Oryctolagus cuniculus: one gene and its partners. The protein of the gene in region 3 purifies or fractionates together with the protein of the main gene of each other region. This does not show direct contact. Links are inferred from orthologs where the notes say so. Each region holds a gene or a part of one and is shown on either strand. Other genes may lie near its edges.

Region 1 (3,517 bases), on a different chromosome or scaffold from region 3:
GTGCCCGGAAGAAGAGCCTCTCTTAACTGTGAGCTCAACAGCCTCCAGCCCACGACCAGGCCACAGCCAGGGCTACTGCGGCGCAGCCCCGCTTTGGGGGCAGTCAGCGGGAACAACACAGTTGTTCTCGGTGTGGCTGAGAAAAGAGGAGGTGGCCGGAGCTGCACCCAGAGGCCTCCCGAGGCTTCCGCTCCCAGGGAAGCAGCAGGTAGGGCGGGAACTGAGGAGAGGGCAAGGAGCCGCCGGGCTTAGGGAAGTCGACTGCAGGTGCAGGAGCAGCATGGGAGAAGGTTGAAGGGCAACAGAATGTCCACAGCACGCAAAGAGGCTCAGTGAAGACTGGATGGGTGGGAAATGGACTTAAAAACAAGCTGGGGTGGGGGCCGGTGCTGTGGCACAGTGGAGTGAAGCCGCCTGTGATGCTGGTTCGAGTCCCGGCTGCTCCAATTTCAATCCAGCTCCCTGCTAATGCGCCGGGGAAAGCAGCGGAAGACGGCCCAAGTCCTTGGGCCCTGCACACATGTGGGAGACCTGCCATGGCCACTAGAGGCAGCTGGGGAGTGAACCAGTGGATGGAAGACCTCTGTGTGTGTCTGTCTCTCCCTTTCTCTCAGCTGAACTGCTGCTTGGGATGCTGCAGCCTGCGTCAGTCTTGCTTTGACCCCTGCTTGCTCCACTTGTAATCCAGCTTCTTGCTAACCTGCCTGGGAGGGAGCAGATAATGCAAGTACTCGGGTCCCTGCCACCCATGGGAGACCTGCATGGAGCTCCTGTCTCCTGGCTTCAAGCTGGCCCAGCTCTAGCTATTGGGCGTATTGGGGGAATGAACTATCAGATGGAGCACCTCTCTCTCAAATAAAATAAATTTAAAAATAGAAAAGCAAGCAAACAAAAAACCCAGCACCCTACCAGAACACCCACATATTTTAGGAATTGGTAATGAAAGGTAATTTTAAATGCTCAATACATTCCAAACCTTAAATGCATATATTAAATAATAAAATAATTACAACAGAAAGATAATGAGATTACTGCATATCAAAGTATGTGGAATGCAGCTAAAATGGTATTCAGATGGAAAATCACACACCCTGAAAATACTTACATTGGAAAAGATGATTGAAAATTAATGAACCAAGCACTGAATTTGAAACTTTGGGACAAACATTCAAAGAAACTACCAGAACACAATAAAAGCAACAGAGAAGGTTATAAAAGAATCAGCAAGGGGCCAGTGTTGTGACGCAGCGGGTACAGCCACCGCCTGCAATGCTGGTCCAAGTCCCAGCTGCTCCACTTCCGATCCAGCTCCCTGCTGATGCACCGAGTGCCTGGGCCCCTGCACCCACATGGGAGACCTGGAAGAAGCTCCTGGCTTTGGACTGGCCCAGCCCCGGCCATTGCAGTCATCTGGGGAGTGAACCAGTGGATAGAAGATCTCTCTCCCTCTCTAACACTGCCTTTCAAAATAAATAAATAAATATTTTAATAAAGGGAAAAAAAAGAATCAGCAAAACAAAGAGCCAGTTCTTGGAATGATAAAAAACCAGCATGTATGTCCAAGGCAAGGCTGGACATGGCGAGGTACCGCAAAGCAGAGGGGGCCTGCACCAGAGACAGCCGGGCTTCTCCAACTGTGAAAGAACCACCGGGGCCGGTGCTGCGGTGCAGAGGGTTAACCCCCTGGCCTGCAGCACCGGCATCCCATATGGGCGCCGGTTCTAGTCCCGGCTGCTCCACTTCCAGTCCAGCTCTCTGCTATCGCCTGGGAAAGCAGTGGAGGATGGCCCAAGTCCTTGGGCCCCTGCACCCACGTGGGAGACCACAGGGAAGCTCCTGGCTCCTGGCTTCACATTGGCGCAGCTCTGGCCGTTGTGGCCAACTGGGGAGTGAATCATCGGATGGAAGATCTCTCTCTCTCTGCCTCTCTTTTTCTTTTCTCTGTGTAACTCTGACTTTCAAATAAATAAATAAATCTTAAAAAAAAAAAAAAAAAAAACCACCAACATCCTGGCAACAAATGTGAAGAGGACGATTTTCCAGAGTGAGACAAGCTGAGAAAGGTACAACAGGATCACAGAAGCCAAATCAGAGGCCTCCCCTGGTGAGCTGAGTTTAAATTCCGCGTGAACAGAGAACCACGGCTGGCGTCAGAGCAGAGGTGTGGCCTGAAGCTAACTCTGCAAACTCCGCACGGCCAGCGACTGGAGGTGGCCGGAGCCGGGCAGCAAGTGCAGGTGGGCCCACAGCAGGGCAGGGGCTGGGCGGAAGGGGGAGAGTGAAGAGGTTAACACCGGTTGCTGGCTTGGGATCTGGGAAGCTGGCCTGCCAAGGAGGGCGTGGGAGGGCCGCAGGCCTGCAGGGGAGTGTGGGGAGATTTCCCAGTGTGCGTTCAGATGTTGAGTCTGCAATGCCCAGGGACATACGGGGCGGGGGAAGCAGGCGGCGGCTCGTTGTCAGGCCTGAAGCCACCAGAGATCTGAGCGGAGAGAAAACTCCTTCTCACTTCCCCGTGACCAAAATCCCACTGACACAGCAACTCTGCTCTCAGAGTCCCCAGGTGGAGGGGAGGCGGAGGGTGGCTGCTGCTGGGCCTGGGACGAGGCCTCCTCCCCAGTGCCCAGTGGGAACATGTGGGCCCGGCATGGCTGCAGGCTGGCGCCCGCCCTGCAGGTCACTATATCCCTGAGAATCTGAGGAAGGCGCCGGCCATCCTGGCCCCCCAATGCCCAATCCCAATCATCAATTCACGGGGTTCCTGACACCGCCCAGCCTCACCAGATTGGCCACATTGTCGGGCGTCAGCAGAGGCTGCAGGAACTCGGCTGTGATGTCTGTGTCTGACTGGCCTGAGAGCTGGGCCGAGGCCTTGGAGGTCCCCGATGGGCCTGGCTCTAAGTCCTTGTCCTCGTCGTCTTCCCCCAGGTTGGGCTCTAGGATCGGGAGAGAGAACAGGATGTGGTTCTAGAGAGAACAGCAGCCCCGACCCAGCCCGTTCCCAGGAAGCCCACGTGTCCAGGCAGGCCCAGCAGACGGCAGCCCCACCGTGGATGAAGATCCAGGCAGCAACTCTGCCTCTGCCATCAAAGCGCCATCAACCCTGGCCAACTGCCTGTCTCTGGGCCTCTGCTCTCTGCATCTGGGAAATGGGAATGAGCCATACCCCTCGAGCCGATCTCAAGAAGCCGGAAGACAACGTCAGCCAATCAATTCACACGCTTAACTGTTTAAACTGTTTAAAAGGTTCTGTCTTTGACCAGGAGCTTGGGAAGTACAACCCCCAAACCTGTTCAGGTCGCACTTCCTGCTGATGTGCTGGCAAACCCCAGAAGCCTGCACTGTCGCAGGAGGGGCGTGCTGCGTACAAACACCTCTGGGAGCGCCGTCGGACAGCACACCCTGCTTCGAGTGTGCACGCCCCTGTCGCCACAGCAGCACCACTTCTGGGTGTCTCCCCTAGGGGCTCACATCGAAGACCAAATGTCTAGGGGATTCGCCGCTGCTCCGCAGAGAAACG
Region 2 (3,517 bases), on a different chromosome or scaffold from region 3:
GAGAGCTGGACTGGAAGAGGAGCAACAGGGACTAGAACCCAGTGCCCATATGGGATGCCGGTGCCACAGGTGGAGGATTAGCCAAGTGAGCCACAGCGCCAGCCCCCTCCTCTCTCTGTAATTCTACCTTTCAAGTACATAAGTAAAAAAATCTTTTAAAAATAGCATTAATAACATTTTGGTGTCTGTGTTGTGATGTAATGAGTTAGGCCTCAACCTGTGATGCCGGCATCCCATATTGGCACCAGTTTGATCCCAGCTGCAGAAGATGTTCCAAGTGCTTGGGCCCCTGCCACCCACATGTGAGACCTCGGTGAAACTCAAGTCTTTAAAAAAATATGACATTCCCCCCAGACCAGAATTATATCTGAGGACAGGAATGAGGGAAAATTTATCAAATTTAAAAAAGTTTTTTTTCCTCTTAAAAACAGGTGGCTAGGTTACTTTTTTAAAAAGTCCCAGCCTCTTTTTCCTCTTGTATTCAAGACACTTGTTGTTGTTGTTAATCTTAATGCCAGGCCCCAGTCATGAAGTTGACAACAGATGCTTCATGATGCCTTGCCACACAGATAAGGCTTATCAATTCAACTTGTAGAATATGTTGCATAGTAACTGTGTTCCATATAACCAGGCTCATGATATATATTACAGCTTGTTTCTGTGGAATTCAAAATGTGTGTTAGATCTAATGCCATGTAAGACATATTATACAAAAAGAACGTATGGTATCATACTTGGAGCTGTCAATTTGATGAACTTTAAAATCGCAGACTTAGTGTATTAAGTCTTCATGAAAGCAAGTACATACTGTGTTTTTTTGTCTTGATCAGGGTGGAATGCACGTCAATGGCGCACCTCCTCTGATGCAAGCTTCTATGCCAGGTGGTGTTCCAGCACCAGGGCAGATGGCCGCTGCTGTCACAGGACCTGGCCCTGGTTCCTTAGCTCCTGGAGGTAACTTTCATTTCAAGTCGACACCATTTCTGTACTTTGTTGAAATGTTGTCATAGCAACTGCTGCAGTGTAGCCAAAGTATTATGTGGTAATAGGATCTTGATATAAAGTTAATATAGGAGAGTACTTTAAAAAGTCCATGGAATTTGCATACTGTACAATTTGCACCAAAATCAAGTTATCTTTCAACTTCATTTTCTATAAACTTTTTGAAGTCCCCTCATACAGCTAGAAATTATATATCCCGGAGGAAGGAAATAGTTGATTTCTTATACACAAATCCTTAAATATCTGATTATATGGGACACTCAAGTGGAAACTTGGAGTAAAACTTCCAAATTAACAAGGGGGAAAATGAAATGAATGGAAGCTAAAACAAGCCAGAAAAAATTAAAGGAAAAGACAATGTAAAATAAGTAAAAATAAATGTAGAGTAAGATAGAAGAAATAAAAACTGGTTTAAGTTGTTATCCTGCTAAATGTGAATGAATTGAATTCTCCCACTAAAAGCTGAAAACTGTTAGATTAGGTTAAAAAGCTCATGAAGAAAACAGACACAAAGTACATAGTCACATGTGTTATGTTTAGCAAGTCTAAAATTGCATTTTAAAAAATACAATAAGACTAACCAACAAAAGAAATAAATTTGGAAACTCTATATTCATTGAAAGTATATAGGTGGACAATTAAGAATGTTGCTATTGAAGCCAGCATTGTGGCGTGGCTGGTAAAGCCACCACCTGTGACACTGGCATCCCATATGGGCACGGATTGGAGTCCCAACTGCTCCACTTCCAATCCAGCTCTCTGCTAATATGCTTGGCTTGGGCCCCTGCACCCACAAGGGAGATCCAGAAGAGGCTCCTGGCTCCTGGCTTCTGTCTGACCCGACTCTGGCCATTGCAGCCATTTGGGTAGTGAACCATCGGATAAAAGATCTCTCTCTCTTTCTCTCCCTCTCCCTCCCTCCCTCCCTCCTTCCCTCCTTCCTTCTCCCCGTCTCCCTCTCCCTCTCCCTCTCCCTCTCCCTCTCCCTCTTCCTCTTCCTCTCCCTCTCCCTCTCTACACCTCTGACTTTGAAATAAATACATAAATCTTTAAAAAAAACACAAAGAATATTGCTATTACAGTTAGCTTTTCTTTTCAAAAAGATTTTATTTTATTTATTTGAAAGGCAGAGTGACAGAGAAGAAAAGAGAGAAAGATCTTCCATCTGCTGGTTGATTTCTCCAAATGGCCACGATAGCTATAACTAGGCCAGGCTGAAGCCAGGACCCAGGAATTCCATCCAGGTCTCTCATATGAGTGGCAGGGGCCCAAGTACTTGGACCATCTTCTACTGCCTTTCGAGGCACATTAGCAGGGAACTGGATTAGAAGCATAAAATCCGGGCTTCAAACCAGTGCTCTGATATGGGTTGCCAGTGTTGCAAGCTACTGCTTAACCCAATGCACCTCAATGCCAGCCCCCCATTAACTTTTCACTGTACCTAAACACACTGAGTGAAATAGCAGTTCTTTATATGAAAGACCTGTGTGAACCCGAGTTATTTTCAACATTTATAGTTTTTTATGAATCAAACTTGCTTATTGGCTAATTTATCTAATATTAGATTGGCTGTACACTACTCATGAGAATAATGTAGATTACTCTGTTTTGTAGATAAATCAAGTCTACACAGCTAAGTTAACAAGGAATCGATTTTTAAAGAAATTTCTAAAACTCAGAATTTTCATTTATGCTCATTATCAAATTGAGTTGTAATTCTCTCTCAATGAAAGAAATAGGCTCAGCCTTTTATACATTTTTAAATTAGACATGTCTAGCATACCTTAAAAATATCTCAAGTTGTAATGCCCTGCACATGGCAAATATGCAACCCACGATATATGCAGGTTGTTACACAAGTTTACTTAGACTGGTCTATGCTTTGTTCAGTGAAACACGTGCACTGATCACACACTTCAATGTCACAGCATTTTCATATTGCTGTAAAATGTTTCTATGTGTCTGCAGTCCATTTCTGTACTTACCTTGTCATGAACTGTTAACATACAGTGTATAGATCAGCACCATTGGTGGATCACACTTCAAATAGCATTGTGCTAGTGGACAAAAAACAAGTAAGGACACTGAGACAGTAAACAATAGAATCAATAAATTTCATCCAGTACAGAGGGAGCTTTATATGGTTTTTTTTTTTTTTTTTGACAGATAGAATTAGAAAGAGAGAGAAAGAAAGGTCTTCTTTCCGTTGGTTTCCCCCCAAATGGCCGCCACGGCCAGAGCTACACCAATCCAAAGCCAGGAGCCAGGTGCTTCTCCTGGTCTCCCATGGGGTGCAGGGCCCAAGCACTTGGGCCATCCTCCACTGCCTTCCCGGGCCACAGCAGAGAGCTGGCCTGGAAGAGGGGCAACCGGGACTAGAATCAGCACCCATATGGGATTCTGGTGCCGCAGGCAGAGGATTAACCAATGAGCCACAGCGCTGGCCCCGCTTTATATGTTTTGACTAGAGAATACATCTTTTGCCCTCCCAAATGACAATGGGAAGTTTTTTGTT
Region 3 (3,517 bases):
CGAAAGGCCAAGGAGAGTCCAGGGGGTCTCCACCCACCCAAGACAGAACTCCCGGAGAACTGATCCAGACTCCCCACGACCGCAGGTTTCAACATTCTGAGCCAGCCTGGCATTCGTATTTTTTCTTTTTTTAAGAGATTATTTACTTATTTGACAGACAGAGTTATTCAAAGGAGAGAGAGAAAGAGAAAGAAAGAAAGAGAGAGAGAGAGATGTCTTCTGTCCACCGATTCACTTCCCAGATGGCCTTAATGTGCCAGGCAAAAGCCAGGGGCTGGAAGCTTTGTCTGTCCGGGTCACCCTTACGGATGGCAGGGGCCCAAGCACTTGGGCCATCCTCCACTGCTTTCCAGGCTCATCAGCAGGGAGCTGGATCAGAACTGGAGCTGCTCAGACTCTAACAGGAGCCTAGCTGGCCCCGCCATCTTAGCATTCTGACCAAAAAGTTTACAACTATTTCAAGGGAAAACTTGGCTCTAAATCTTAAACAACTGACTTAAAAAATACATACTTCAAAGACAGAGCCTTGGGGCCAGTGCTGTGGTGTAGTGGGTTAAGCCTCTCCTTGTGGTGCCAGCATCCCATATGGACACCGGTTCTAGTCCCGGCTGCTCCTCTTCCGGTCCAGCTCTCTGCTATGGCCCAGGAAAGCAGAAGATGGCCCAAGTCCTTGGGGCCCTGCACCCACGTGGGAGACCTAGAAGAAGCTCCTGGCTCTGGATTGGCCCAGCTCCGGCTGTTGCAGCCATCAGGGAAGTAAACCAGAGGATGGAAACACCCCACCCCACCCCCCCGTCTTTAACTCTGGCTCTCAAATAAATAAATCTTTAAAAAAAATGAAAGTAAAAATAAAGGCAAAGCCTATTTACTCAAAGCTCACTTAAAACTTAAAATTACTTTGGGTATTATCCTATTATCATTAAAGCACTAACTGGAACGAAACAATCTCTTTAAATAAAATCAGACTTAGTGAATGCTTCAGAAAAGTAAACATGAAATGATTAGATTTGAGTGAGAGTAGAGGAATGATGTTAACACAAAATGTTTTCTTCTTAGTAGAAGTTTTTTTGTTTATTTATTTATTTATTTTTTGACAGGCAGAGTGGACAGTGAGAGAGAGAGACAGAGAGAAAGGTCTTCCTTTTGCCGTTGGTTCACCCTCCAATGGCCGCCACGGCTGGCGCGCTGCAGCCGGCGCACTGCGCTGATCCGATGGCAGGAGCCAGGTACTTATCCTGGTCTCCTATGGGGTGCAGGGCTCAAGCACTTGGGCCATCCTCCACTGCACTCCCGGGCCACAGCAGAGAGCTGGCCTGGAAGAGGGGCAACCGGGACAGAATCCGGCGCCCCGACCGGGACTAGAACCCAGTGTGCTGGCGCTGCAAGGCGGAGGATTAGCCTAGTGAGCCGCGGCGCCGGCTACTTAGAAGTTTTAACCAAGTACTTAGCAATGGTAAAGACTGAGGCCACAGGGAGAGACCAGGGCCACATCCGCTCATACAAAGAACGAACGCCAGTCGCTGGGATTCTGATTTCGGGCAGAGAAATGCCACCTGCTAGAAAAGAGCCCTGCTTTCCCCGGCGGAGGTCAGCCACAGCCAACGGCAGGCACCGCCACCAAGGGTGGTCTGCATGTCCCCGCTCCTGTCCTTCGTCCTTCCACGAGCACTCACCTTGAGGTTACTGATGTGTTTGAAGACAAAGGGGTTGTTGATGTTGATCTGTTTGCGGATCTTGTCGTTCATGGCGTTGACGTACGTCTGGTACACGGCCATGCACTTCTTGGCCAGGGATGAGGCGTAGTATATGGGAATGTCATGCAGCTCTGGGTGATTCTGCCAGTACTCATCTGGAGAGGTTTTACAAGAAGCACAAACTGTGTTATGCTGCATAAATAGCTCAAATAAAATATGATGCACATGAGTAAGTTTCTAAAATTCAGAAAACCAAGAAGTGAATTAAAGCATTCAACTATGTTTAAGAGAGTTACAAAAAATTAGTTGGATCCTTACCAACTTAAACTCACAAATCCAAAAGTTATTTCTAAATACTAATATACCACCCCCAAAAATCCTGTGATTGTAGAACAAGGGGTGGAGGCTTTTAAAAATGACAGGGGTGGGGGCCGGCACTGTGGCACAGTGGGTAGAGCTGCTGCCTGCAGTGCCAGTATCCCATATGGGCGCTGGTTCGAGTCCTGGCTGCTCCACTTCTAATCCAACCCTTTACTATGGCCTGGGAATGCAACAGAAGATGGCCCAAGTGCTTGGGCCCCTGCACCCATGTGGGAGACCCGGAGGAGGCTCCTGGCTCCTGGCTCCAGATTGGCGCACCTCTGGCAATTGCGGCCAGTTGGGGAGTGAACCAGTAGTTGGAAGATCTCTCTCTTTCTTTCTCTGCCTCTGTTTCTCTCTCTGTGTAACTTTGACTTTCAAATAAATAAATAAATCTTAAAAAAAAAAAAAAAAAAAAAGACTGGGGTGGGGGGCCCTGGTGCTGTGGTGCAGTGGGCTAAGCCCCGGTCTGCAGTGCTGGTATCCGCATGGGTGCCAGTTTGAGTCGTGGCTGCTCCGCTTCAGATCCAGCTCTCTGCTAACGTGCCTAGGAGAGCAGCTGAGGATGGCCCAAGCCCTGGGCCCCTGTACCCACGTGGGAGACCTTGAGGGAGCTCCTGGATCCCAGCTTCAGCCTGGCATAGCCCTGGCTGTTGCGGCCATTTGGCGAATGAACTGGTAGATGATCTCTCTCTGCCCCTCCTTCTGTCTTTCTAACTTTGCCTTTCAAACGAATAAATAAATCTTAAAAATTGCTCTGATTCCAATCCAGCTTCCTGCTCATGTGCCTGGGAAGGCGGCAGAAGATACCCAAGTACGTGGGCCTCTGCCACCCATGTGAGAGACCAGGATAGAGTTTCTGCTGGTCAGAGAATTCACACCATTTAAGGCTTCCAGGGCTGACGGCACAGAATGGTATGCCAGCTTCTGCTCCCAAGGGCAGTGCCCAGGGTTGCTGGTTCGCTGGATTCTTATTAGAAAGCAAAGCTCAGAAAGGCGGCGCGACGCAGCCAAGGCTCTGTCATCATCTCGCTAGAACGGTGCAGGTTTGAGAAGCTTCCAAAGGAAGAGGCACACCTAGAATCAGGAGGAGCTCCTGAGCCCTCCCGAGAGCGAAGACGGGAATGAGACCGCGGCCTCCTCTGTTCACGATGTCGTGGACAGTGTTACAGAATCTTGCTTCTCGCTCTTCACGCTTCTCGTGGATATGGGTCCCGTAAGTCGATTCCTACATAACACACGAAAAACGTGACACCAAGACCAGTGATGCCCAGAGAGTCACAAAGGGAAACGTCAGCGAGACGCTGAGGCAAACAAAGTGATTCACTTCTCAGTTAACATGCCATTTGCTTGAGCACATAGTATTACAGGATTAATCAGAAAGAACCGCAAGTAAGAACAGCAGAATTCAGTTCCGAGTGATAAGAAATTCTCAAAAAACGGGATCAGGAAATAGTCCAAAT
Region 4 (3,517 bases), on a different chromosome or scaffold from region 3:
TGGTCACAGGCACACTCTTTCAATGGCTACAATATGCAATTAAAGTGAAACTTCCATCCAGGCTAACTTGATAACAATCTTGCCAATAGCAGATTGTCCTGAGAGTAATTTCCCACAGTGCCCTCCATACTAAAAACTATAATGTCTAACTGTGAAGGCTCTTCCTTTAACACACAGATGACTATTTACAATGAAGAGAAACTACAGTAAATGGCATCATGTAACTGATAAAGGCATATATGTGAAGAATATTATGCCAGCATAGAGGGTAGAGTTCATCTACAAAGGGAAGCCTGGCTTGTCTCATTTAATCTTCTTTCACTCACACCTTTCAAATATTTTTAAAATGTAGACCTTAATCACAAAAACAGAAGTTAATAACAATAACAATGTAGGTATGTAGTCTAGATTAAAATATAAATTTAAGATTATTAAATATAAAAAAAATTATATTAACTTCTTAACATATCTTTCAACAACAGAGGCTGCTAAAACACTGTAATTTAAAGTGTGCCTTATTTAGATAAAGGGATTTCTGTTTATGGTGAGAAATAAGACATTTAAACAATGTTATCTGACAATTAAACCTGGATATTTGATGAATTTCCTTAATATTCAAAATAGATCTATAAACTAATTTATAACTAAGATCTGTCCAATTGCTTTGCAGGTCCTGCAGTAGCTCAGCTGTTACTACAAAAATTAAATGAGCTGTAAACGAAATTTAAAATACGTTTTTGTTCCTACTAATAATCAGATGTTAAAATGAAGATTCCTTGACATTGATTTTACTTTTTAAATCACATCTGTATTGACTGGGGGAATGGTTCCTCACAACAGCCAAACCAATGCCATTGATTTTCTCTTAAAGTAAACCACTTGTTTTCTGCAGGGAGAGGAAATTGCCTCCTCCCCAAAGCAGCCTACAAAGCAAGCACCGTCTGACCCTACGCTGCCAAGTGTCATCCTAGACCCTGCAGCATAAGCTTTATCTCCACTCCTGGGCTCCTCCATTTGCCTCCTTTTCCATGACAGCACTGCTTTCAGAACATCACAAGTCTAGACTACCAACAGATACAGTAAAAATACCTAGGCCTAATTGTGTAGCAGAGATCTCCAGGCACCTGTGGGAACAAGGGCTCCTCCCCTCCACATCATTTTTTGAGAGGCAAATAGAGAGAAAGTTCCCATCCTATGGTTCACTCTCAATGCCTGTGTCAGCCAGCCAGGGCTTGGCAGAAGCTGAAGCCAGGAGCCACCAGCTCAACACAGCTCTCCCACATGGGAACTCAAACCCTTGAGCCATCGCTGCTGCCTCCCAGGGTTTGCATTAGCAGGAAGCTGGCATCAGAAGCCAGAGCTTGGAAATGAACCCAGACACTCTAGGGACCCTAATTGTTAGGTCAAACACACTTTTAACTTGTCAGATTACTAAGGTTAAAATGCATATGGATAATGGAATAGTGACCTAACAACAAGAAAGTAGGGCATGTTGGTGTGTAAGATGGTAGCATTCCCAATTCTGCACATGGAGTCCTTTCCTCCTTAGTCCCTGGCCACCTGTGACTATTTTAATTTAATGCTACATGCTCCTCCTATATGCATAGGGCAAAGCTGGAGAACAGAGGCCACTGAAAATAACAAATAATAAATTAAGAAAAATTGGAAACCAGCCTGGAGCTCTGCAGATTAAGCCACTGCTTGGAATACTGGCATCCTACATGGGTGTGGGTTAGATATTGCTGTCATTTGGGAAGTGAACCAGAGCACGGAAGATCTCTCTGTCTCTCCCTCTATCTCTGTTAACTGCCTTTCAAATAAACAAACCTTAAGAAAAACTTAAAAAAAAAAAAAGAAAGAAAGAAAGAAAGCTTAGAGGACTAGAACCTGAGACATCTCTAAATTAGCAATTATTTTGAAAAGATATTTCACCAACTTAAAATGGTTCTCAAAAGAAATATAGGGACCAGCACCGTCCCATAGCAGGTAAAGCTGCCACCTGCAGTGCCAGCATCCCATAAGAGTGCTGGTTTGAGTCCCAGTTGTTCCATTTCCAATGCAGCTCCCTGCTAGTGTACCTGGGAAAGCAGAAGAAGATGGCCAAAGCCCTTGGGCTCCTGCACCCATGTGGGAGACCCGAAGGAAGCTCCTGGCTCCTGGCTGCACACTGCCCCAGCGCACCAGCCAGCCATTGTAGCTATTTGAGGAGTGAACCAACTGATGGAAGATCTCTCTGTCTCTTCTCTCTCTCTGTAACATTGCCTTTCAAATAAATCAATCAATCTTTAAAAAAAAAAAAAAAAAGAAAGAAACATACAATCTTCCCACTGGAACTAGTTCAGGTCTTACCTGCCACCTATCACTTCTTAACTTCACCAAGAAGAAAGAATCGCCAATGAGACAGTCATTCTCTTGTGGATGTAGTGGCTTGTTAGCAAAGGGGTCAGGATGGCAGCACCATTCTCCAACTAGAGCTCCCCAGTTCTCACTTGGAAGTGGCAGTATCCTCAGGAGCTTCCTAATGGAAAGAGGAAAATCTATTTTTCACAGATGGAACTAACATTTTAATAATTAAATCAGCATGAAAAATGAGAGGGACCCATTAGCCACATGGCTTGCTATGTTAATTTTCTCCCAACTTATAAAAGTAATATACACTCGGGCCGGCGCCACGGCTCACTAGGCTAATCCTCCGCCTTGCGGCACCGGAACACCGGGGTCTAGTCCCAGTCTGGGCGCCGGATTCTGTCCCGGTTGCCCCTCTTCCAGGCCAGCTCTCTGCTGTGGCCAGGGAGTGCAGTGGAGGATGGCCCAAGTGCTTGGGCCCTGCACCCCATGGGAGACCAGGATAAGTACCTGGCTCCTGCCATTAGATCAACGCGGTGTGCCGGCCACGGCGGCCATTGGAGGGTGAACAAACGGCAAAGGAAGACCTTTATCTCTGTCTCTCTCTCTCACTGTCCACTCTGCCTGTCAAAAAAAAAAAAAAAGTAATATACACTCACTACAGATTGTTTGAAAATGCGAAGTATAAAGAAAGCAAAAATCATCCTTTTTTTTTTTTTTTTTGACAGGCACAGGCAGAGTTAGACAGTGAGAGAGAGAGAGTTATAGACAGTGAGAGAGACAGAGAGAGAGAGGTCTTCCTTCCGTTGGTTCACTCCCCTAATGGCCGCTACGGCCGGCACTGCGCCGATCTGAAGCCAGGAGCCAGGTGCTTCCTCTTGGTCTCCCATGCGGGTGCAGGGGGCCAAGCACTTGGGCCATCCTCCGCTGCTCTCCCGGGCCACAGCAGAGAGCTGGACTGGAAGAGGAGCAACCGGGACTAGAATCCGGGGTGCCAGCACCGCAGGCAGAGGATTAACCAAGTGAGCCATGGTGCCGGCCAAAAATCATCTTTTTCTTACTATTCAAAGATAAGTAACTACTTATTACATGAGAGTACATTTCTTTGCCATCCTTTCTAGAGACACATTTGAACACAATCACATAAAGCCTGGAATTAGAGGACATATAC

What was found. The genes of interacting proteins can lie anywhere in the genome.
Region 1: the proteins of CPSF3 (region 3) and SYMPK fractionate together in Homo sapiens (co-fractionation; 6 studies listed by BioGRID and IntAct, with this or other methods). This does not show direct contact. The link is inferred for Oryctolagus cuniculus from reciprocal best matches to the Homo sapiens genes CPSF3 and SYMPK.
Region 2: the proteins of CPSF3 (region 3) and CSTF2 purify together in Homo sapiens (affinity purification with mass spectrometry; 3 studies listed by BioGRID and IntAct, with this or other methods). This does not show direct contact. The link is inferred for Oryctolagus cuniculus from reciprocal best matches to the Homo sapiens genes CPSF3 and CSTF2.
Region 4: the proteins of CPSF3 (region 3) and UBE3D purify together in Homo sapiens (affinity purification with mass spectrometry; 4 studies listed by BioGRID and IntAct, counting the BioPlex papers as one, with this or other methods). This does not show direct contact. The link is inferred for Oryctolagus cuniculus from reciprocal best matches to the Homo sapiens genes CPSF3 and UBE3D.

The regions. Positions count from the first base shown.
Region 1 is NC_091449.1:11,189,586-11,193,102, reverse strand, and holds part of SYMPK (symplekin), read right to left. Parts: intron 2,934-3,517; coding exon 2,779-2,933; intron 1-2,778. UniProt on the Homo sapiens protein: Scaffold protein that functions as a component of a multimolecular complex involved in histone mRNA 3'-end processing. Specific component of the tight junction (TJ) plaque, but might not be an exclusively junctional component. May have a house-keeping rule.
Region 2 is NC_091453.1:91,881,664-91,885,180, reverse strand, and holds part of CSTF2 (cleavage stimulation factor subunit 2), read left to right. Parts: intron 1-830; coding exon 831-954; intron 955-3,517. UniProt on the Homo sapiens protein: One of the multiple factors required for polyadenylation and 3'-end cleavage of mammalian pre-mRNAs. This subunit is directly involved in the binding to pre-mRNAs.
Region 3 is NC_091433.1:192,651,111-192,654,627, forward strand, and holds part of CPSF3 (cleavage and polyadenylation specificity factor subunit 3), read right to left. Parts: intron 3,283-3,517; coding exon 3,132-3,282; intron 1,850-3,131; coding exon 1,674-1,849; intron 1-1,673. UniProt on the Homo sapiens protein: Component of the cleavage and polyadenylation specificity factor (CPSF) complex that plays a key role in pre-mRNA 3'-end formation, recognizing the AAUAAA signal sequence and interacting with poly(A) polymerase and other factors to bring about cleavage and poly(A) addition.
Region 4 is NC_091436.1:89,378,500-89,382,016, reverse strand, and holds part of UBE3D (E3 ubiquitin-protein ligase E3D), read right to left. Parts: intron 2,519-3,517; coding exon 2,350-2,518; intron 1-2,349. UniProt on the Homo sapiens protein: E3 ubiquitin-protein ligase which accepts ubiquitin from specific E2 ubiquitin-conjugating enzymes, and transfers it to substrates, generally promoting their degradation by the proteasome.